3 linked regions of the Struthio camelus genome follow. The protein of the gene in region 1 interacts with the protein of each later gene in a pairwise test. Links are inferred from orthologs where the notes say so. Each region holds a gene or a part of one and is shown in the gene's direction. Other genes may lie near its edges. The genes, in order: AAMP, AEN and BHLHE40.

Region 1 (7,884 bases):
TGGGGCTGGCAGGGGGGCCTGGCCGTGCCCCGGTGTTACGCCAGCTGCCCCCTCGCTCCGTGTGGCCTGGGATGCCCTTAGCCCCCGGGGAGGAGGGGGGCAGCCCCTGCACTGCTGGCATGCGCAGTGAAGGAGGGAGGTTACGTGGGGAAGGAGCGGGGGCAGCAAGGAACTGCCCCACGGACGGACGGCAGTGCCCGTCGAAGGGGCAGAACAGACCCGCATCCCCAGAGGGTAAATCTGCCCCCAGGGCTGCTGGTTGCATTGCTGAATGAACCCTTCTCCTCTCTCCTGCAGACGCTGGCCATGGGGTTCATGACGGGGACGATCGCCAGGTACTCACCGGGGATCCTGGGGCCCTTCAGGGCAGGGGCTGTGGGCACAGACCCCGAGCAGAGATGCAGAGATTGGGGCCGGCCTTTGCCTTCAACGCCCAGAGTCCAACCCATCCTGCTGTCAGGCCGGCTCAAACGAGGGGCAGTGAAGCCCCTGGACGCAGGGTCCGTGCGGTCCCTCTGCAAGATCACAGCCACGGGGCCATGGGGACGGCCTTGGGGAGTGTAAATACCCTCTGGGCAGGGGGACCCTTTTCCTGGCTCCCCCGAAGCATGGGGTGACGCTGGTGTCCTCTCTGTCCACAGCATGTACAGGACCAACGCCGTCCTCATTGCTATGCTCATCACTGCCATCGTGGCCATCATTGTCACCGTCTTCTGCTTCCAGACCAAGGTGAGGTGCAGAGGCAGGCTGTGAAGGCCTCCCCGATGTAGGGTACGGCCGGGGTTGGATGCTCGGTGCGGGGTTGCTGGGGACACTGCTGTCCCTGCAGGCTGCCCTGTGGCCCCGGTGAGCTCAGCATGGCCCTGAGCTTTCCCATGACACGTCCACCCTCCTGGCAGGTTGATTTTACATCGTGTCCTGGGCTCTTCTGCGTGCTGGGCATCGTGGTGATGGTCACCGGGATCGTCACGGCCATCGTCCTCTCTTTCAAATACGTGAGTAGAGGGGGCTGCAGAGCGCCACGAGTCACCCTTGCCTGTCTGGGCAAGCAGCTGGGTCCCCCTAGCTGTAACCCAGTGGCAGCTTGGCCCCGGGGATGGCAGAGGTGGGATTGGGAGCGGGTGGTGGGTGGATCCCCTTGACCTGGGCTGGTGCCAGGAAGCAGCGTGTGGTGTCAGCGCAGAGGCAGCTTTCCCGCAGAGAGAGGGTGCGGCTTGCGGTATCTCCGGGGAAACTGGGTGCAGGCAGAGTCCCACGTGCCAGCCCAGGGGCTGGGGCAGGGCTGTGCCTTGCGGTCACCTGCTCACGGGTCATCGTCTCCCCGCCTGCAGGTCCCCTGGCTCCACATGCTGTATGCGGCCATCGGAGCCATCGCCTTCACCCTGGTGAGTTGACAGCTCAGGCGCTTTCCCTCCTGGGCTGGGTCCCTCTGCGGGGTGTAGCAGGGGGCTGTGCTCCCAAAGTAGTCATTCGGAGGTGGGGGGGGCAGATACCCCCAGGAGATCACCAATATCTCTGCCTGACTCTCGCTGTGCTCTTCCCAGTTCCTAGCCTACGACACCCAGCTGGTGCTGGGGAACAGGAAGAACACGCTGAGCCCCGAGGAGTACGTCTACGGTGCCCTGACCATCTACACCGACATTGTGTATATCTTCACCTCCATACTGCAGCTTGTGGGCCGGGACTAGCCCCTGCCCTGCACCGGGCCCCCTCTTCTCCTTGCCGACCTCTGCTTCTCTCCCTCTCCTCCACAAAGCTGCTCCTCTCCCATCTTGTCCTTGCCCCAGGAGCCTGGCAGAGCAGCACGTGCCCGAGGTGGGTCGGTGTCACTGGGCTCCTGCTGGCCCCTCTGCTAGGCCCTGTAGCCCTCCCGCTGCTGCAGGCCAGCTCTGTGCCCCGCAAGGTGTCTGTCCCTGGACCAGGGTGCCCAGCTGGCCCCCAGGACAAGGGGCTGTGCTCAGTGCCGGAGCCCCCACGGTCACAGCCGGAGTCGGGGGCACAGCTCAGGCACAGGGGGGGTCCTCGGTGCCTGGGCAGGGCTGCCACCACCCCCCGATCCGCGGGTTCACTCGGCACGCGCCTGGTGCACAGTCGGAAGGAAAGGCAGAGGTCAGGGGCCTGGCATGAGGGCGAGGCTTCCCGGCGGGGCGGTGTTTCCTAAGCTTGTAAATAAGCAGCAAAACCAGTGCCTGTATGCACTATACGGCCAGTTACCGGCTCTCAGCCTGGTCCGAGATTACTCCTAATGCTTCAGCACCCCTACCTGTAGGCTGCTAAGGAAGGGGCTCCCCTTGACCCCTCCCAGTCTCTGGAGCCTGGGAGGTAGTGGGGGAACCAGCCAGCAGCATTCAGCCAGGACCCAGCCTCAGCGCCCATTCCCTGAGGACGCACTGGTGCGTTGGCAGTGCTGCTGTTACGCTGCCATGCATTAAACAGCCTTGTGCTTGCACAAGGGCAGTTGTGCGGCGGTTGCTGCCTCGGAGCTGAGGCCAGATGTGTCTGCCTGATGTGGCACCTCCCATGCAGCCACTGGAGGGGCTGGCAGCACTGGCGGGCAGGGCCGAGCTGCTGTCTCGCCCCAGGCTCCCAAGGAACATGTCAGGCCCTGGCTTTTTGCAGAGATGCTCTGGTCTGATCCAGCTTCATTCACTCAGTGCCTTAAATGTAGCTGCTCTGTGGCTGCCCCATGGCTTGCCCAGCCCCCCTGCCTAGCCATGCCTGCCACAAGCTCTGGCAGTGCTTGCTCTGGGCCGAGGCAGCCAGGACCCCTGCAGTGGGATTGGGGACATCTGTACAAAGCTTGTGTTACAAAGGACTCGCAGCCGTGGGAGCAGCCTGCCTGGCCCTCGGATGTGGCCAAAGTTGCACTTGCTAAATAAAACACTTTAATTTTCCAAACAGCTGAGTCTGCTTTGTGGGGTGAGCCCATCCAGGATGCCAACGCCTACCCACCATATTGAGCTCCCAGATCTCCCCAAGATTGGGAGGAGCTGGAGTTCGCAGAACACCTTGGCCAAAAGGCTCAGCTCTCCCAGCAGGGCTGCGGGTTATCGGATGGGGCTGAGCGGGCACCAGGAGGAGGGTGAGCAAGCAGCAACTCCCTCAGAAAGCTCTGAGCCACGTCAGCAGGGGCAGCAGCTCACAGCAACACAAACCTTGCCTTGTAGAGATAAAGTCAAGGCTGAGCTGTTCCAAGCGGTGGCCTCCCAGCTGCCTTTCCCTCCCACCCCCGCAGGCAGGGCTGGGCCCCTGGCTGCGCACAGCACACTCTGCAAAGGGTGCCCGTGACAGGCAAGTCAGCGCAGCTGGGAAATACTCCCGTGGGAGAGGAAGGAGGAGCAGGCAGAGCCTGGGGCTGAGCACAGAGGGAGTGATGACAGTGGTACAGGGCTCTTTCACTCCCCATACCCGAGGGGAGAGGTTTATTTACCCCCATCCAGCCCTCCCCGACTGCCACACGTACTGGAGAGGGGAGAGCAGGCCCCAGTGCCCTGTGCCAGCAAGGTAGGCATGTCCCTGGACAGTCCCTTCAGGGGCACGGCCTGTCCCTGCCGTGGTGTCCGGCTCTGAGGGGGCGGCCTGGCTATGCCCCCCTGACTGCCCTCTTGTATCGCTCTGTTTCGTACTTGCCCTCGTTGGATCCCATCATCTTCCGGCGGATCTTGAGCTGCTCCAGGCGGTTTTTGTCCACTTGCTGCTTGGCCAGGAGGAAAAGCACGATGCCAGAGGGTAACCCGATGGCCCTGCAGGACAGCCAGCAGGCAGGAGATGGAGAGGGTCAGCAGGGCAACAAGGGGCCTGTGCCACCCTGGGATGGGACAGACACCCACCGCACTTAGTGCTGCAGCCCTGGGCTCCCCAGGGACCCCCCCCCCGGGCCCCACGGCCCCACACAACAGCGTGCTGCAAAGGGGCCTCTGGGGTCCCCGGATCACGAGCACCAGACCGGGGCAGCCGTGGGACCCTCCGCAGACAGTGACCCCCCCCCCCAGCACCCGTCCCAGGGCCACGCTACCCTCCCAGCAAAAAGCGCCGCCACTCACCAGGCCACCCCGACCATCTTCATGGGGTTCTTGCCCTTGCGCGTGGGGATGTACTCCACCCCCTCGGGGAGCTGCCCGCCGCCCGCCGAGCCGGCCCGTGACTCTGCCGCCGGCTGGCAGCCCCGCCGGAGGAGCCGGGCCCCCGCCGGGGCCGCCAGCCCTGGTAGCAGAGAGGGGGGGTCAGCGGCTGCCTCGGAGCCCCCCTGGGTCCGGGACCCCCGGGCCTAACCCCACCCGGGGGGGGGCGCCCGCACCCCCACCCTGCCCCCTCCTCGGGGGGGGCGCGCCTGGGGGCGTGGCCATGGCCGGGAGGGGCGTGGTCTCAGAGGGTGTGGGGCGGGAAAACCCGAGGGGGCGTGGTCAATGCCTCGGGGGGGCGTTGCCGACCCCCCGAGGAAGCGGGGCTTTCGGAGGGGCGTCACATCACGGCGGGGCGGGGCCAAGCTCCGGAGGGGCGGGACGGGAAGGGGTTGCCTAGGGCGATGGGGGCGTGGCTAAGGGCCTGGGGGCTGCGAGGGCGGGGCTATGTGTCGAGGGTCTCGAGGGACAGGGTCGCTCCCACCCCGGGGCCGCCCCCCCCCCACCCCGGCCTCGCGTTACCCCGCAGTCCGCCGAGTACCGCCGCCATCGTACCCGCCCCTGCCCGTTTCCCGTCGTGCCCCGCGCTCCAGGTGTGACGCTGAGTGCCGGGAGTTGTAGTCTGCCGCGCGGGGGCCGCCGGGAGGAGGCACTGCCTGGGCAGGGCGCGAAGAACTACAACTCCCACAGCACCCCGCGCGGGACGGCGTCAGCCTACCCTGCTGGCGGACTGACGGGGGAGGGGTGGGGCTTGAGTGAGGAAGCGGGCGAGGACTGGCTAGAGGGAGTTTCCCGGTGGGAAGGGATTGGCCGGGGCGGGGCGAGCGGCGGAAGCGGAGGCAGCAGGGTCGGGTGCGCGGGCAGGCCGGCATGGAGCCCGCGGAGGAGCCGGGCGCGCTGGGCTTCCACGGCGACGAGGAGATCATCGAGGTGGTGGAGCTGGGCCCGCCCGGGCCGGGTGAGACGAGGCGCCCCCGGGCCGGGGCACGGGGACGAGCCCTGCGGGGGGCACCCGGCCTCCCCCTGGGGGCACCGGGCCCGGGCTCGGCCCTCGGGGCGGGGTTGTACGGGCCTGGCCGCAGGGCCTCCCCCTCGGGTTGCAGCCGGCCCGGGGCTGGGGCCGGCGGCGGCTGGACGAGCCGGTGGCAGTGCAGGGGGTTGCACGGAGCGTGCTGCCCTCCGGTGCCCGCTGTCCCCGGAGCCCCAGGACTGAGCAGACCCCCCCCGCTGCCCTTCCCCACGGCTCGGCTGCCCCCGGGGAGCGGTGAACGGCTGCTGCCTCTGCCCGAAGCCCCCTGCGCCCACAAAACCGGTCCTCTTAGCTGGATCGAGCCCCTTCGTCCCTCAGAGCTGGCCCTGGCTCCCACCAGGACTCCCCGGGGGCCCTGTCCTTGCCCACTGCTGGTTGCCCTGTTTAGGCTGAGCTGGTCTGGCTCTGGGGCAGGCTGCCAACCAGGCGCTGACGTTAGCTCTCTGTAGATGACCTGGCCGACGAGATGGAGGACGTGGACTTTGATGAGGGGGCAGATGAGCCTGATGCCGAGGCTTGGGAGACAGAAGAGGATGATGAGGGGGTGGAGGACAGCATGGAGGCGCAGGACGACAGCGAGGTCACGTTCTCCCTGCACTCAGGTGAGTGGTGAGCCTGAGTGGACAGCGGGGCTCTGCTGGGGTGGTTGCCGGGGGGGTGCTGCCTTCTGGGACCTGCTTCAATCCCTGTTCTCCACAGTGGAAGGGAACACAGGTAGGGCCTTGCTAGTGTGCTGTCTCCCTGCTGTTTCTGGGCCGTTTATCAAAATTCAGAGTTGGGTGCTTTCAGCTTTGCTCGTTTCTTCCCTACACTGCTGTAGAGAAGCTTCCTGTGGAAGCCTTGGGGATGCTCCTTATCAGGAGCGGAGCTTCTGCTCTAGGTACTTTCAGACCTCAGGGCTTCCTAGCATGGCCTTGACAGCTAGCAATGAGCTTGGCAGACAGCCTGTACTGCTCTGGCAGGGCCCAAATCGCTACCCAGTGGGAAGAACTGATCCCCAGTGGTTTGGGTTTTTAGTCCAGCTGGGTGGCATCTCACCTAGTCCTGATACTGTGTGGTTTGGAGCCCTTGGCAATGTCTGATGGGGCATGAGGAGTGTCTGAGCTGTGTAGTCACTTTCTGCTCTTTTGTGCAGCTTCTGTTTTCTGTGTGAGCCTTGACCCCAAGACCAACACACTGGCGGTGACAGGTGGGGAGGATGACAAGGCCTTCGTGTGGCGCCTGAGTGATGGAGAGCTCCTGTTTGAATGCTCAGGTGAGGTGCTTTGGCCAGGTCATCCTCTGCACCAGGGGGGCAGCGGGAACGCTGCAGGAGGATGCGCACTGGGGAAAATGATAGGGGTGAAATTATGGCGTGTCCCCTCCCAGCAGCGTCTCTCCAGACCTGCTCTCCTCCCACGCAGTGCTCTGGTGGAGCCAGGCTCCTGATCATCTTCCATAGCTGCATTTGGTAATTAAATAATTTCTACTTCCTGCCATCTCTAGGACACAAGGACTCAGTCACTTGTGCTGGCTTCAGTCACGACTCTGTGTTTGTGGCCACAGGCGATATGTCCGGGCTCATCAAAGTGTGGCAAGTGGATACCAAGGAAGAAGTGTGGTCCTTTGAGGTGGGGGACTTGGAGGTGAGTGGCTGAACTGGCTCTTATGGGGCTGGCACCTGGGACCCAGGTCTGATTCCTCTCCCTTCTGCTCTCTGCTGGGTGGCAGGGATGGATGCTGGCCCGTGCCAGTCCTACCAGTTGAACCCATCATCCAGCAAAGTCATCACTGGAGATTTTGGTGCCGCTCAGTGCAGCGTGAACATGTAGTCCCTGAATACCCTCCTGGCTGCTCCATGCAGGGCTAGTTCAGGCCCCTCAAGCTCCAAGTTGAAGACTTTTCCCTTTACAGTAACACCAAGAGGGCTCGAGCCCGCAGCAGGACCCTCTCATGGCAGGCCCAAGCTGAGCACAGAGCTAATGAGAGCAGGCTCAGGGCTAGGGTCATGCATGGTTGTACTTTGGCCCAGGGCAGGGCAAGGGGGAGTTTGATCCTTTCTCTGGGGTCCTCTAAACCCAAGGCCACCCTGTGACATTGCATGTCCCTCGCTCTGCGCAGTGGATGGAGTGGCATCCTCAAGCCCATGTCCTTCTGGCGGGCACAGCCGATGGCAACTCCTGGATGTGGAAGATCCCCAGCGGAGACTGCAAAACCTTCCAGGGCCCTGCGTGCCCGGCCACGTGTGGCAAGATCCTGCCTGATGGTGAGGCACAGAGGCTGTCTGGGGAGGGGAGTGTCACCAGCTCTGGCTATGAGGCCCCTTGCAGATCCTGCTGGAACCATGTGCCACCCTTTTTCTGCAGAGCTAGGGGCACCCCAGGGTGCCTGGCTCTGTCCAGTCTGGGCTGAGCAGGAGGTGGAGGGGTGAGGGAGGCTCTGGCTCTAGCTGCCAGTTCTGTCTCATCCAGGGAAGAGAGCGGTGGTTGGATATGAAGATGGGACCATGCGCATCTGGGACCTGAAGCAGGGAACCTCGCTGCATGTCCTGAAAGGTTGGAAAAGGGTTAATCACCGGGGGGGGGGGGGGCTTTCTAGTTGGGGAATGGGCTTCCAGTGGGCTCTGATGTCTGCCCTTGGGAAGAGGTGGCTCCTTATGAGGCCACGGGCTGCTGGAGGAGGCCTGAGACTGGGTGGGCTGGCTGGGTTTCCCTGCTGAATTACCCCTCTCCCCTTGGGTGGCTAGTCCCTGCC
Region 2 (7,169 bases), on another chromosome or scaffold:
AGCGCCAACAGGAGGACTGCACACAATCTGCTGCCATATTTGCCGGTCCTTCTTGCATCATTTCCCTGGTGCAAACTCTTTGCTGTGCAGACTTTCCCTGCAGAAACAGCCTCCTTCCTTTTTCACTGAAGCAAAGATGATATGAGAACTATCTACTGATAATCCTGAGCTTATAGCATAGAGGTTAGTGGAACCAGAGGAGTCCACGATACTCACATGGACCCATTTAAAGCAATTTTGACTTTTTCACTTCCATCCCTACACCTGGGATACAGGAGAAAAATGACACTGCTATTCCCTTGCAGTCAGACCGATCACAGCCTTGTAAAACTGGAAAAAGTTTTTGCCTCCTCCCCCCAAGCTCTTAATTGCCGCTATCAAGATTCCTTTGGAACCACGAGGGTACAGCTAGAACTTTGCACTGTCAAGGAGAATCACATGCCTTTTGCAAAACGTAATGCCTGGGAAAGAAGATTGCTGAGCAAAGAGTAAGCGAGATGGATGGGTTTATTGTGGACAAGCAATGACTAATCAGACCCAGGAGTACAACAGCACTGTGTCAGAGGAGAAGCTGTCAACCATGTTCATCAATAAGCACAGCACAGCTGATGGATCTCAGCTAGGAGATTTTAGACAACCTCTTAGGGAAGTTTCTATGGGCCAGATTCTGGCTGCAGCTCTGGGAGATGCCTTGAGTTATACCTTGTCCTGCTCCTGCTTTCTCCCAGAGAGAGATCAGGTCTCTGAGCAGTTCAGAGCACTCCCTGTCCCGCTACAGCATGCGAAAAAGAAGAGCAGCCAGTGACACCACATCTTTGCCCGCCTGGATCTCCCAGGTCTGGGGAAAGCCTGTTGTTGCCATGCTGGCAATGCAAAGCCGTGGTCCTACAACTCTCGAGCCAGTTTTGGTGGGAAAGAAGCTGTAGAGGTGCAGAGAAGTCACCGACGCTGGAACAGCTCAAGGGAAGTTCAGATGATATTTGAACTAGTTGCTAAACCATTCCCCAGTGGGTTTCCAGAGATGACTTGACAGAGGAGAGCTTCCTATAGGAAACAGGTCCTGCATACCTTGGGTTCGCCATTCCCAGAGACAATCAGGGAACAATGCCCAAGAAATCCCCTTCAACAGGACCAGGATTGCACTGAAATCAGTAATTCTTGCACACCAACCAGAAATATCACAGGCAGAGTGATCCTCTGTTAACAAGCATCTGAAGGGCTTTGCTCGCTGGAAAACCTGGAATGAGCTTCACTGCCTGAATTGCATGTATTGCTGATCCCCCTGAGTTTCACCCCTCACCCAGCCAGCTACATCTGCCCCATCTGCGCTGACACCATGGGAAGCAACATGCCGTCTCTCCCGCGGTGCTCCCCCCACTGCAGTTTCAGAGGTAGGTTTGGCATCTCGCTGCTGTTTCTCCAGGCTCTGCCGGCACTGTGGCCAGCACCTGGCATTCAGCAGGCAGGAGGAAGGATAAGCTCCCACCTCAGCCTCGGAGCAGCCTCAGCATCTCACCTACACTTTTCCAGCCGCAGCTGGAGACGAGCAGTTTGATGGAAAGGTCACAAAATGCTACGAACCTGCTGGCTGCTTCCGAGCAGGAGCGAAGGGAAGGGGGAGGGAGGGAGGGGAAGAAAGAGCACTTGCATCATCTCAGCCCGAGGAAGGGCTATCACATCCGCTTGGCCCCTTTGAAATCCAGGCTGAGCCAGTACCTGACAACATCTTATTTACAAGACGAACGTGGCCCCTTTTCATGCCCACGCTTCCGCTGGGAGCTGCTGGTGGTTGCCCTAATCGATTGGCTATTCTAAATATACAGGCTCTTGGGATGGGGGAGCTGTAAATTGGTTTGGCTTTGCAGCTCAGTCTCTGGCAGAGGATTCGAGCAGCGGTGCCAGGGCAGGCAGGCCAAGCCAGCCCCCGGTGAGAGCCTTGTTTCGCGAGAGGGGGCCGCTGAGCCGGGGAGCAGGTGCCAGCCGGCCCGGCCCCCTCCATTCCTGTGTGCACCTCTGGTGGAGTCGGGAAAAGCGCGCGGTATCCGCGTCGGAGCGTGAAACACAGGTCAGACCGTGTTGCTTTCTATGGCGATTGCTCTGCAACAGCGCTGAGCACCGGAGCTTTATTCGTAATAACCTCAGCACTTGCGCTCAGGGTGCCCGGCTGCACCCAGCTCCAGCCGGCTCGCCAGCACGCGCAGCGTCCGGAAGGCTTCTGCAGCCCTTTGCAGCAATGGTCGTAACTTTAATGCTTTGGGGGGGTTAATCATCCCTAGGAAAGCAAAACAGCAATGACGGTACCAGGGAAAAGCCCTCAAGAGCCAGTCCCCTGGCACACGCTGGGTGCTGTCTCGCGGGCTCCCGCTGCGGCCCCACACCAGCGGTCGCACGCCGGCGCTCTTCATTTCTCTAGCACCGAGCTCGAGGTGGTCGCAGAGGCGATGCTGCAACAGTCAGCTCACTGCCTGCGTACAGGGGCGTGCAGGGCACAGTGACCCCCAGCAACCCAAAATGAACCGTCACCACGAGCGGCGTTGCACCATTTCACCAGAAATAACAAAAACGAGCAGAAATTTCTACAAGGAGACCTGCCAGGGCTTCCTGACAAGTTATTGTGGGACACTTTAAAGACTCTCATTAGGGGGAATTAAATTAGCTTAACAGCAGGGAAGGAAGCGAGATATGCAAAGCGCAGAGCAATAGATTTAAGGAAAAGGTTTACTAGCCGGAAGAAAAATGTAAAAGGACGAGGAAAAATTAAATTACGGGGTGATTTAATTCTTTTAATTCTGAACAGGCAGAACAAGCCCACAGGTGGTTTAAAAGGGAAACAAAAGAGCACGCTAACACTGGTCCTGCACGCTTAGCCCGGGGCAACAAGCTGAACTGCTTCCCTAAGACGTGGGGAAACGCACTTCTTGCCACAAAAAACCACTTTAGGCCAGCCCAGGCGGCCACATCCAGCGCACCCGCGCAGGGGCCGCGGAGGAGCCGCCTGCAGGCTCAGGACAACGGCCCCTCCGGCCGCAGGCTCGCCAGCGGCGGGCCCGAACGCCACGGCCGTCCAACGCAGCGCTCTTGGGCACCGACACGCAGCCCCGAAACGGGACGCGGTCCAGCTGCGTCGGGCCACAGCGCCGCGAGGCCCGGCAGCGGGGCGGCGGGCAGGCCGGGCCGCTCAGAGCCAGCGGGCCGCCGCGGCGGGACGAGGACGCACGTCGTGCCCGGCCCCCTGTGGAAGACTAGTGATTTTGTTGTTGTATAGCTCGCCTCACGACAACAAGTCACAGTCTGCCTTAGGGCGCCCGGCCTCTCCGGCGACCGCACGAAGCGCAGGGCCGGCGCGGGGGCCCCCCGGGCCACGGCGCGGCTGGGCGACCCGGCTCCGCTTCTGATCACCTCGGCCGTTGCTTTCGTGAGCCTGGCAGGGGAAAGCAACGAGAGGCCGGTCTGAAACCCCCGTCTGCGTCCGCCGCGGCCCGGGAAGCGCCGGGCACCGGGCCGAGCCGGCTGGCAGCTGCCGCCACCACACGCTCGCCTGGGCCCACGGGCGGGAGGGGAGACGCTGCGACAGGTACCGGCACGCTTGGGTGGCGGGACGGTGCCGGAGGATGATCAGGAGAGCTAATGTCCCCTTCCCTGCGCCACCAAGGGATGGGACCACCAAAAAAGTTTCTGACTGGTTCAGAGATGCCCCCAGCCGAGTGCCTCTGGAAAGGCCCCATCCCAGCGGGAACGGGCTCAGAGGTCGGGTAGGCAGAAGCAAAGAGGAGACCAGCATCCGGAGCAGCCCCGGGAGCAACGGGGCACCGGGAGGGCCGTGTCCTGTCCACGGGCACCTGCTCTTTTCCCAGCGCTGGGTTTAGTTCCTTCTTACATCAGCCGCCCTGAACGAACGAGGAGTTCCCTACAGCGAGGGCCCTTTCTGGGAGCACCTCGGCCCTAGAGGCAGGGCCCTATAGCCAGGTGCCTCCTGCCCTATAGCTCATTTAGGGAGGAGAGCCCCTGCCTGCGGGCCCACGCGTGCGGGGGGGCGGGAAGGCCAGCCCTATAGCCGAACCCACGCGGGGAGAGACCAGCCCTACAGGCGGGGGCCCCCGCAGCCTCGCCCCAGCCAGAGGGGCGCTCTCGCCCCGCCCCTTTATGCAAATCTAGCCCCCACGCAGCCAGTGGGAGGGATCGGGGGCGGGGCCACGGCGCGGCTTGCCCGGGCATGTGAGCGCGGCGGCTTCCGGCAGAGACACGTGGGAGCCGGGCCGGGCCGGGCCGGGCAGCGGTGGGTGAGGGGTTGTGCGTGGGGGGGCGGGGGTCGGGGCTTGTAAAGGGGCGGGCAGGAGGTTCTGGGGCTGGGGGGGGGGGGGGGCCTGGTCCTGAGCTATGGGGCGGACGGAGAGCCGGGGCCTAGTAACGAGGCGGGCAGGGGGCCTAGGGGTGGGCAGGGGGGCCTGGAGCTGGGCTATCGGGCGGGCAGGGGGCCTGGGGCCGGGCTGTGGGACGGGCAGGGGGGCCTGCGGCCGGGCAGCGGGGCGGGCAAGGGGCCCTAGGGCTGGGTAGGGGGGCCTGGGGCCGGGTATGGGAGCCTGGGGCTGGGCAGGGGGGCCTGGGGCCGGGTATGGGAGCCTGGGGCTGGGCAGGGGGGCCTGGGGCCGGACAGCGGGGTGGGCAGGGGAGCCTGGGGCCGGGTATGGGGGCCTGGGGCCGGGCAGCGGGGTGGGCAGGGGGGCCTGGGGCCGGGTATGGGGGCCTGGGGCCGGGCAGCGGGGTGGGCAGGGGGGGCCTGGGGCCGGGTATGGGAGCCTGGGGCTGGGCAGGGGGGCCTGGGGCCGGGTATGGGGGCCTGGCGGTAGACAGCAGGGTGGGCAGGGGGGCCTGGGGCCGGGTATGGGGGCCTGGCGGTAGACAGCAGGGTGGGCAGGGGGGCCTGGGGCCGGGTGTGGGGGCCTGGCGGTAGACAGCAGGGTGGGCAGGGGGGCCTGGGGCCGGGTATGGGGGCCTGGCGCTAGACAGCAGGGTGGGCAGGGGGGCCTGGGGCCGGGTGTGGGAGTCTGGGGCTGGGCAGGGGGGCCTGGGGCCAGGCAGCGGGCTGGGCAGGGGGGCCTGGGGCTGGGTATGGGGGCCTGGGGCTGGACAGCGGGGTGGGCAGGGGGGCCTGGGGCCGGGTATGGGAGCCTGGGGCCGGGCAGGGAGGCCTGGGGCCGGGCAGCGGGCTGGGCACGGGGGCCTGGGGCCGGGCAGGGGGGCCTGGCGCTAGACAGCAGGGTGGGCAGGGGGGGCCTGGGGCCGGGCAGGGGAGCCTGGGGCCGGGCAGGGGGGCCTGGGTCCGGGCAGCGGGGTGGGCAGGGGGGCCTGGGGCCGGGCAGTGGGGTGGGCGGGGGGCCAGGCAGTGGGGCAGGCAGGGGCTTGGGGCCCAGTAATGGAGCAGGCAAGGGGGCCAGGCTGTGTGGTGGGCGGGGGGCCTGGGGCCAGTAATGGTGCATGCAGGGGCCTGGGTCCCAGGGGTTGCAGCATCCCCCCTTCCTGCCTCTTGTCCCCCACCAGGGCTGCCCACTCCTGCCCGCGGTTGGGGGCCGGGAGGGCTCTGCGGTGGGGTGTGCCAGCCCCCTTCTCTTCTGGGAGTGCTGGTGTGGGGCTGTGTGGCGCTAACCCCCGTGCCCGTTCCAGCAGGGATGTCTCCTGGCAAGGGGCAGATGACCCCGCTCCTGGGCCCCCCAAAGGTTTCTGCACCAGCCCCGAAGGCTGCTCATGGCCCTGCTGCGGAGGGCAGCCCTCGGCCCCCAGCACCCCTCTGCCCCCAGATGGCCTCCGAGGGCCCTGGCTCGCCGCAGGGGCGCAGCAAGAAGAAGAGCCGCAAGCACCAGCGGTTCCTGGAGCGCAGGGCGCTGCTGGAGCAGAAGGGGCTGCTGAGACCCCGCAAGCGGCAAGTTGGCCAGGTCCCTACGGCCAGGCCAGTGGAGGCCGCCTGCAGCTCGCTCACCAAGGCGGGCAGCAAATGCAGCCAGCTGGCCAGCGAACCGCAGTGCGGGAAGGTCGGGAAGCCCAAGCAGGTCCTCTCCCTGTCCCCATCCACCTCTCCGGACAGCATAGCCAGGCACCACTCTGCACTGCTGTCCCAGGATGACAGTGGCAGCTCCACGGGGTTGCGGACATCCTTGCCGCTCCTGCGCCCAGGGAAGTACGTGGCCATCGACTGTGAGATGGTGGGCACCGGCCCTCGGGGGAAGCTGAGCGAGCTGGCACGGTGCACCGTGGTGAACTACGAGGGGGATGTTGTCTATGACAAATACGTCCAGCCCGAGCTCCCCATCGTGGACTACCGGACGCGCTGGAGTGGGATCACGAAGCAACACATGAAGAATGCAATTCCTTTCAGGGCTGCTCAGGCAGAGGTGAAATGGGGAGATGTAAGCCCCGGGGGCAGGAGGGGTACGACCACGCAGCCCTGAGCTAGGCTTTGCTCCGTTCCCTGTTGGGATGACCGTGCCCCAACACCCTTTTACCAGGATTCAGACAAGTCCATAGCGAGTCCTGTGCCCACACCAGCACCTCCTTCTGGTCCATCTCATGGCGGGGATTTTTACTTATAAAAATGGTGCTGCTTAGCTTCTGTTTACTTCCAGTCTCTCAGGAGTCTCTCTCCTGCCAAAAATCTTAAACTGCTGCAAACAAACCGCAGGCAAACAGCAACAGCCCCTCCAGCAGGACTGTGTCCGTGGGAGGGAGTTAGAAATATTCAGTGAAGTCCTGTCATAAATGGTTCTTGTCACTTTGCAAAAAAGTTATCATTAAATTCATGTTTAATTAAAAGCAGTAATACCGTGCTTTTGTTTATTAAAAAACAAAAAAAATTGCATGTTATCTGCCAGCCCCAAACTGGCTAAGAGGAGACCCATGCTGAGCTGCTCTGATGTACAGACACAAGCACAGGACCAGGAGCCCCCTAAGCCTTGTCTGAGGTTGGTTTGCTGTAGCTGAGCATCTGTGCCTTAAGGCTTTAACCAGTGCACTACGTGCCTGCCTTGTGCTGCTGTGGACTTAAGTAACACTGTGTAATGGGACCAGCTGATTACCTCTCAGTTCTGGGAACCTAAAAGATTAGAATCGAAGAAACTAAATTTAATGCAAAATGGTTTGTTTTATACGTAATCTGTGTTTCTTTTGCTGCACCGCTT
Region 3 (7,847 bases), on another chromosome or scaffold:
AAACTCTTCCTCATACCCCGTGCGAAGGATTTGGGGATCCTCCGCCAGGCTGGTGAGCGCGGGTTCTCATGGGCTTGCCTTTACCAATAAGGCTGAGAAATGATATGCCTAGGGCCTTCAGTAAGCTGCTGATCTTGAGCGCTCCTGAAACCTGGCTCAAAAATTGCTACGCTGAGCAAGAAGTCTAACGACCGCCCAGCCCAGGCCCCGGTAAAACGGCGAGCGTTTGGTGAAGGATGCAATATTGCCTGGCTTCAGCGCTCCTCCCACGGGCTGGAGATCTGCCCGTCTTGGGAAAGACCTGCCACATCTGCTGAGTAAAGGTTGGTAGAAGGCTATACCTAGCTGCTCCACGCGGCTGCCTTACAGACTGCTTGGCTCCCCCGTGAACTTCTACTTCTGCAGAAAGTAATGGGTGTTAACTAGAAAGCCCTTGGAGGACGCCCGTCAGATGCGGAGGGCTAACCACTTCCATGCAGCTCCTCCTGCTCGGCATAACCTTAGCTTCCAACCTTGGCTTGTGGTCCAAGACATGGCTGTTCTTTAACCTCCGGTGCCAGTAACCTGACACGAGATTGCTGGAAATGAGAGAGAAGGAGAGTCAGCTATTTGATTACAGGCCACAGGCACATGCCTGGCCTTCATGGATATATTAAGTAAGAGACATTTTAAAACAAAACCACCCTCAGTAACCTTATCGTAAGCTTGAATCCACAACCCATCTGTTAACTCCCAGCGCTGCCCACATAGGCTCCGATCAGACATCAGCGCCAGTGATTTTCAGAACGTTTCACCCCAAATTGCCACCCTCGTGGCTGGAAGGGGACAAGCCCTCAGGAAGAAACACGTCCAGGGACTCAATCCCTTTCGCCAGCCTTCAGCACACCTTCAAAAACAAACTGCAAACCCTTGCCTTTTAACGTATCTGTAAATAACTACAAATCCCTGTTGGACGCAAGCTGCTGCTATCCTGTGACACTCGGCCGTTCTGAAACGAGCGCTCGAAAGGCCAGTTTCTCCCTTAATGGCTTTAGAAAATTAAGCCTTTTTAAACGTTTTGCTGTTGCCTCAATCATACGTTGTAAAAGAACCTTCCACGCAGAAATAAATCAGCAACAACAACAACAAAAAAAAAATCGAGATGGCAAACTGATGATTGCATCAGCCTTAGCTTATGAAAACTGATCCTCAGGAAAATGTAATTCAACTCTCCAGCAATCTAACTTGATGCCCAAGAATGTAATAACTTCATTTGGATCCTCTTTTTAGGGGGACTCCTAAATCCTTGGCAACTTCCCTTAAGGTCATGAGTAAATCCTGATATGGAGAATTGTTTGGCAAGCACGAGAACAGTAAAAGGGCTAAATAATTGGGGATTACCTCTGACCCTGATTTGTAGCTCACCACCCACTGCAGGAATGTACCGAATATCTGAAAGAGCATGCAAGAGTCAAACAATTCATGGGCATGAAATTGTCCACGTACACTCTGAGTTTAAACTTAAAATGCAGAGCAGGTTGGCCCCAAACCTCATTTTTCATTAGCAATCAGCTGCAGCAAGCTCTAATTATGTCTGTTGCCTTAGACAGAGGGTCAGTGATGGCACAGACTGAAAAGCGTATGTGATTCTCCCCCTTTGTTTGGCAGATCACACCTGAGATCTTCAGAGCAAAAAGAGAGTTAACCATCTGATTCACTCCCCGTTATTTATGCCGGTTCTGTTCGCTTTCACCTCATCTGCAAGGACAAAGACATCGCTTTCATTTTTGTGGCGATGATTACCAAATTTATTAAGCACCCGCATGAACGACAATCTCTGCTTTGAGAAGTTTACAGGCCGGAGGTCTGATCCTACCCCTGTGTACGCGCGATGCTTAATTGTCAACACCTACGTCCTCTCCGATGAGCTGGAATCGTCTCGCTCGTGGGCAGGGTCTGCAGCATCACGGCAGACCCTCAAAGCGCCTGAGCTGGCCCTGCTGATAAATGTCACGTTTGCAGACCTGGGCCGCAAAATACAGAGAAGACCATACTGACTGGGACAGGCCTATTGCCCGGCACAACCTAAGCATCTTTTTTTTCGGAAGCTCTGGGTCGTTAATGCAGTGGTGTATCGTTTGTGCTGGAGATGCACTTGGCTCTTGTAAGGAATTGTTTGGCTTTTTGTTTTTTTTTACAGAGCTTATAGTCAAGGCTAGCAGATTGCTGCAGGGCTCTGATTTCTCCTAGGATTTCTCCTGGTAATAACACGCATCCTCAAACGACGGTGTGCCTTAAAGCGGGTGCCCCCGTCTCTCGCGTAAGACCTCTTTAGGCCCCAACGTGATCCCTGCGGCCCGCAGGTTCCTCCCTGCAGGGAGCGTGCAGAACCCCCCGGGGAGGCAGCGACGGCTCTGCCCTCCGCTCCCGTTGCCTTCTCTAGGTAAATGCGCCTTTTATCGGGTGAACTTGCCTCTACTTGTTCCGCACGCAGCAGGGTAAATGACCAGCACCCTTCCGGAGGAAAGGCACGCTCCGGCGGGCACGCACCGCCGCAGTCCTACGCGGCGTCTGCCAGCAGCTGGCATCCAAGGATCCCGGCTGCTCCGCCGGAGACTGAAACCTCCGAAGCGTCTGAGACGGGCAAGAAATAGCACCTCCCTCTAACCGTTCCCTAGCAGGCCTGGACTCCCAGTCGCTTCGCCCTGGGTTTCCCTAGTTCAGAGGCTGCGTTTAATATGGGTATCAGCTTATGTGTTTCTTTGTTGTTGTTGTTGTTTTTCCTTAATCTGTATACGGATATTGGTATGAAAGAGCAGCCTTTAACACCGCAGCTGTGCCGATAAAACGTTCACCTGCACACCCTGCGCCCAAGGCACAGGCGCAAGGTGGAGGCCGCGCTCCTGTAGCGCGGAGGGATAACGAGCAGGGCAGCACGCAGAGATCGCATGCGGTGCGGCACGCAGGGATAGTGCCCAGGGCGGTGTGCAGGGCAGCGTGCAGGGGCAGCGTGCAGGGGCAGCGTGCAGGGACAGTGTGCAGGGCGACGTGCAGGGACAGCGTGCAGGGACAGCGTGCAGGGCAGCGTGCAGGGACAGTGTGCAGGGACAGCGTGCAGGGCGGTGTGCAGGGGCAGCGTGCAGGGACAGTGTGCAGGGCAGCGTGCAGGGGCAGCGTGCAGGGCAGCACGCAGGGACAGCGTGCAGGGACAGCGTGCAGGGGCAGCGTGCAGGGACAGCGTGCAGGGGCAGCGTGCAGGGCAGCGTGCAGGGCAGCGTGCAGGGCAGCACGCAGGGACAGCGTGCAGGGACAGCGTGCAGGGCAGCGTGCAGGGCAGCACGCAGGGACAGCGTGCAGGGACAGCGTGCAGGGGCAGCGCACAGGGACAGCGTGCAGGGCAGCGTGCAGGGACAGTGTGCAGGGACAGCGTGCAGGGCAGCGTGCAGGGACAACGTGCAGGGCAGCGTGCAGGGACAGTGTGCAGGGACAGCGTGCAGGGCAGCGTGCAGGGGCAGCGTGCAGGGCAGCGCGCAGGGCAGCGTGCAGGGACAGTGTGCAGGGACAGCGTGCAGGGCAGCGCGCAGGGCGACGTGCAGGGACAGTGTGAAGGGCAGCGTGCAGGGCGACGTGCAGGGACAGCGTGCAGGGCAGCGTGCAGGGACAGTGTGCAGGGACAGCGTGCAGGGCAGCATGCAGGGCAGCACGCAGGGCGACGTGCAGGGACAGCGTGCAGGGACAGCGTGCAGGGACAGCGTGCAGGGACAGCGCGCAGGGGCAGCGTGCAGGGACAGCGTGCAGGGACAGCGCGCAGGGACAGCGTGCAGGGACAGCGTGCAGGGCAGCGCGCAGGGACAGCGTGCAGGGCAGCGTGCAGGGCAGCGTGCAGGGACAGCGTGCAGGGCGACATGCAGGGCGGCATGCAGGGACAGTGCAGGGGCAGCGTGCAGGGCAGCGTGCAGGGCGACGTGCAGGGACAGTGTGAAGGGACAGCGTGCAGGGCAGTGTGCAGGGACAGCGCGCAGGGACAGCGTGCAGGGCAGCGCGCAGGGTGACGTGCAGGGACAGTGTGCAGGGACAGCGTGCAGGGCAGCGTGCAGGGCAGGGCAGCGCACAGGCATAGTGCGTGGTGTGCTGTGCAGGGCAGCGTGCAGGGATCACATGTGCTGTGGAGTGCAGGGACAGTGCCCAAGGCAGCATGCAAGGACAGCGTGCGGGGCAGCATGCGGGGACAGTGAGCAGTGCAGGGTGCAGGGCAGCGTGCAGAGATCACATGTGGTGCGGCGTGCAGGCGTAGTGCCCAGGGCAGCAGGCAGGGACAGTGTATGGTGTGCTGTGCAAGGAGAGTGCCCAGGGCAGCGTGCAGGGACAGCGTGCAGGGCAGCACGCAGGGATCACATGTGGTGCGGCGTGCAGGGACAGTGCCCAGGGTGGCGTGCAGGGGCAGGGTCCAGGGCAGCGCGCAGGGACAGCGCGCAGCGCAGGCTGCAGGGACAACGCGCGGGCTGCAGCGCGGGCTGCAGGGAGAGGGCGCAGGCTGCAGCGCGGGGCCGCCCGTGCGCAGCTCGGAGGCCGGCGGAGCGGGGCCGCCCCCGGGCACGGCGGGCGGCGGCTGCGCTCCCCAGCGCGGCGCGTTCCCACGCGGCGCCGCCGTCACGTTGCGCGGGGCGGCGCGGAGCGGAGAAAGGGGGGGGGGGGGAGACGAGCCGCCACGTGAGACTCATGTGACCGGAGGGAGGGAGGGAAGGAAAGGGGGGGGGGGGGAGAGAGGCGGCCCCGCCGCCGCCACCGCCGCCGCCCGCAGCGCCCGGGCCGCGCCCGCCGCCGCCCGCCCGCACTTAACCCAGCCCGCCGCGCCCCGCCGCGCTCAGCCGCGCGCAGCCCGCGCGCCATGAGCCGCCGCCGCGCCGCCGCCTGAGCGCGCAGCCCCGCGCAGCCCCGCGCAGCCATGGAGCGGCTGCCCGGCGCCCCGCCGCCGCCGCCGCTGTGCCTGGGCAAGCTGCCCGCCCTGGAGGGCACCGACGGGCCGGGGTGAGCGCCGGGGGGGCTGCGCCGCGCTGCGCGGGGGGCTGCGCCGCGCTGCGCCCTGCGCCGCTCTAACCCGCCCGCTTTTCCCTCCGCTCGTGCAGGCTGGACTTCGCCCACATGTACCAAGTGTACAAGCCGCGGAGGGGGCTGAAGAGGAGCGACGACAGTAAGGTGAAGGGGGGGGGGACCCCGACCGGGGTTTGGGGGGGCGCAGCTCGTCCTTTCCCGATTTTCGGCAGCGGTTTGCCCGAAAACTTTCTGCGCGCCCCGGGGGCGCTGCCTGCCCCGCGCCCTTGCGCCCCGCTTGTAGCCACCCTGCCGCACCCCCCCCCCACCCCCCAAAAATGCTGCCGAAGCCCCCTGGCCTGGCGGCGGGGTCTCTCGGCGGCGCGCTGCCCCCGCCCCAGCCCCCTCTGCCTCCCCCCCAGGAGACCTACAAGCTGCCGCACAGGCTCATCGAGAAGAAGAGGCGCGACCGCATCAACGAGTGCATCGCCCAGCTGAAGGACCTCCTGCCCGAGCATCTCAAACTCACCGTAAGTGGGGGGGGGGGGGCGCCCCGCCGCCCCGTCCCCCCGCCAGGGCTCTGCCACCACCGCCCTCCCAGGGGTCCCCCAGGCCTTGGCGCTCTCTCTGAGCGGGTTTTCCCTTGCCACCCCACGGAAAGGCTGGGGGGGGGTTCACCCGCCTCCGCGACCCCGGGCGCCGCTGGCTTTGTTGGCGGTCCCGGAGGAGAGCCGGGCTCCCCTCGGCTCTCGGGCCCGCTCCGGGCTGCCTTCCCCTGCGCTAAGGTCACGATACCAGCAGGGGCAGCAGAACAGATCAATAAAATACTTCTCTGTGAGCTATGCGGTCGGTCCGAAAATAACCGTGAGACACGACGGTAGCCTTTTCTGCGGCCTGCTTTCGAGTTCGTTTATTTGCAGGTTCGAGAAAGATAGGTTTTCGGGCGAAGCAGGGCCCCCCCCTCCCCGCCCCGGGCGACGGCGCTGCCCCGCCAGCCTTGCCTCCCGGCGCCGTCCGCCCCTGCCCGTCGCTCTGAAAACGCTGGAAGCCCTTTTGGGCTCCCCGCGGTCGGAGGCGGCCGGCGCCGACCCGTCCCTTTGGCTTGCAGACTCTGGGGCACCTGGAGAAGGCGGTGGTTCTGGAGCTTACCTTGAAGCACGTGAAGGCGCTGACCAACCTCATTGAGCAGCAGCAGCAGAAGATAATTGCCCTGCAGAACGGCTTACAAGCCGGTGAGTGTTCAAAGCCCAGCGAGCGAGAACCTGCCTGCGCGCCCTGGACTCTCTTTCCCAGCCCGCGCCGTGCCCTGGTGGCACTTGGTCCCAGGGCAGGGAGGAGGAGGAAGGAGTTCTTTCTTTTAATCGCCTTCCTCTTCCCTCACTCTGCTCATGAGTCCTCAGGAGAAAGACGCTTTTCGTTTCTTAGTTCGGTCAGTTCAGAGCGCGCTGAGAGTTTTGTTTTAAAATTCATTTGAACGTTACTAGTTTTATTTAAAGCTCGGTTTTGCTTAAGGTTCTCTCCGAAGGCATCCGAGCCTTTCTATTGGTGTTTAGGAGCTTTGGACCAAATCCGTTTTTTTTTTTCCCTCCTCAAAAATATGAAAGCATCTGCCTTTTTTTGCACACACCTTTTTTTTTTTTTTTTAGGCTTCTTTCTAAACTGATCAGCCCGTGTTGCTGTCGGCTAAGAGGGGGCCAGGTCTAGCGGCTTATTGTGCTTTAAATGTACTTCCTTCTCCTGTTTTCACACGTGGCACTCACGTGAATCTGATAAAGTAAAATTTAGCTGTTCTAAAGAGATTTCCACTGCTTTAATAGCCACGGGGTGTGCGATCGAGCTTTAAGCCAAGGTCCTATAGCTGAAGCAAAACGGCCCTCGGTTCCTGGAGCTGAAGGAGGGTGAGCTTGCTGCAAGCGCTCCCTTCCTGGTGGGAAGGAAGCGGGTTGCAAACTGGCTTTCAAACCGCTTCTTCCCTGCGGAGGTACCAGGTTGATTCACTGCTGTTTCTCCATACCTGCACCCGTGTTACAGTTGCCACGTACAGGAGACCTAGAAATAAAAAACAAATTTGAAATTCACATCCAAAAGTGGACGGGTGGATGTAAGAAGAAACAACGTATGCCTGTACAGAAATCAGGGGAGCGCGTGTAAAACACGGTTTGACCCTCAGGTTCGCCTGTTCAGCTGTTTTGTAGCAGCGGAGGTGAAGCCCTTCTCTCCAGGGTGCCTCGAAGATGGGAATGGACCTATTTAGCACGTTGTTAATTTTTAATTTCTTTCTGCTAACGTTTCCTCAGGTGACCTGTCATCAAGAAACCTCGATTCCAGCCAGGAAATGTTTCGATCCGGTTTCCAGATGTGCGCCAAGGAGATGCTGCAATACCTGGCAAAGCACGAGAACGGCAAGGACCTGAAGTCTTCTCAGCTGGTCGGCCATCTGCACCGAATGGCCTCCGAGGTGCTCCAGGGCGGAGCCGGCCGAAAAGCCGCAGACATCCCTCCGAAAACAGTGGACTCGAAGGAGAAGTCTGGCTCCTTGACCAGAGCGGCCGAGGGACATGGCAAAAACTGCGTGCCGGTGATACAGAGGACATTCGCTCCTTCCAGCGGCGAGCAGAGCGGCAGCGACACCGACACAGACAGCGGCTATGGGGGAGAGCTGGAGAAAAGTGACTCCAAATCCGAGCAGCAGTATTTTAAAAAGGATACGGAACTCAAATATACTGTCCAGGAGAGAATAAGCTCTATTAAGCAAGAGACTGAGGACCCACCAGCCAAAAGGACCAGGATGGAAACTTCCGAAGACGAAGGCCCTTTTAGCAGTGACGTGATGGGCT

The links.
Region 2: the proteins of AAMP (region 1) and AEN interact in binary tests that used the Homo sapiens proteins (3 or more experiments, as listed by UniProt). The link is inferred for Struthio camelus from reciprocal best matches to the Homo sapiens genes AAMP and AEN.
Region 3: the proteins of AAMP (region 1) and BHLHE40 interact in a two-hybrid assay, tested with the Homo sapiens proteins (2 studies listed by BioGRID and IntAct). The link is inferred for Struthio camelus from reciprocal best matches to the Homo sapiens genes AAMP and BHLHE40.

The regions. Positions count from the first base shown.
Region 1 is NC_090947.1:28,586,132-28,594,015, forward strand, and holds the start of AAMP (angio-associated migratory cell protein), read left to right. Parts: upstream 1-4,880; 5' UTR 4,881-4,991; coding exon 4,992-5,079; intron 5,080-5,600; coding exon 5,601-5,753; intron 5,754-6,286; coding exon 6,287-6,406; intron 6,407-6,636; coding exon 6,637-6,776; intron 6,777-7,251; coding exon 7,252-7,396; intron 7,397-7,601; coding exon 7,602-7,685; intron 7,686-7,884. Other genes in the region: TMBIM1 (protein lifeguard 3), read left to right, coding at 298-335, 642-729, 900-995, 1,332-1,385, 1,545-1,688; uncharacterized protein, read right to left, coding at 3,584-3,743, 4,044-4,203, 4,644-4,671. UniProt on the Homo sapiens protein: Plays a role in angiogenesis and cell migration. In smooth muscle cell migration, may act through the RhoA pathway.
Region 2 is NC_090953.1:9,579,426-9,586,594, forward strand, and holds the start of AEN (apoptosis-enhancing nuclease), read left to right. Parts: upstream 1-4,158; 5' UTR 4,159-4,276; intron 4,277-5,661; exon of another isoform or gene 5,662-5,664; 5' UTR 5,665-5,666; coding exon 5,667-6,386; intron 6,387-7,169. UniProt on the Homo sapiens protein: Exonuclease with activity against single- and double-stranded DNA and RNA. Mediates p53-induced apoptosis.
Region 3 is NC_090955.1:2,511,285-2,519,131, reverse strand, and holds the start of BHLHE40 (class E basic helix-loop-helix protein 40), read left to right. Parts: upstream 1-4,841; 5' UTR 4,842-4,924; coding exon 4,925-5,007; intron 5,008-5,105; coding exon 5,106-5,175; intron 5,176-5,432; coding exon 5,433-5,540; intron 5,541-6,118; coding exon 6,119-6,242; intron 6,243-7,307; coding exon 7,308-7,847. UniProt on the Homo sapiens protein: Transcriptional repressor involved in the regulation of the circadian rhythm by negatively regulating the activity of the clock genes and clock-controlled genes.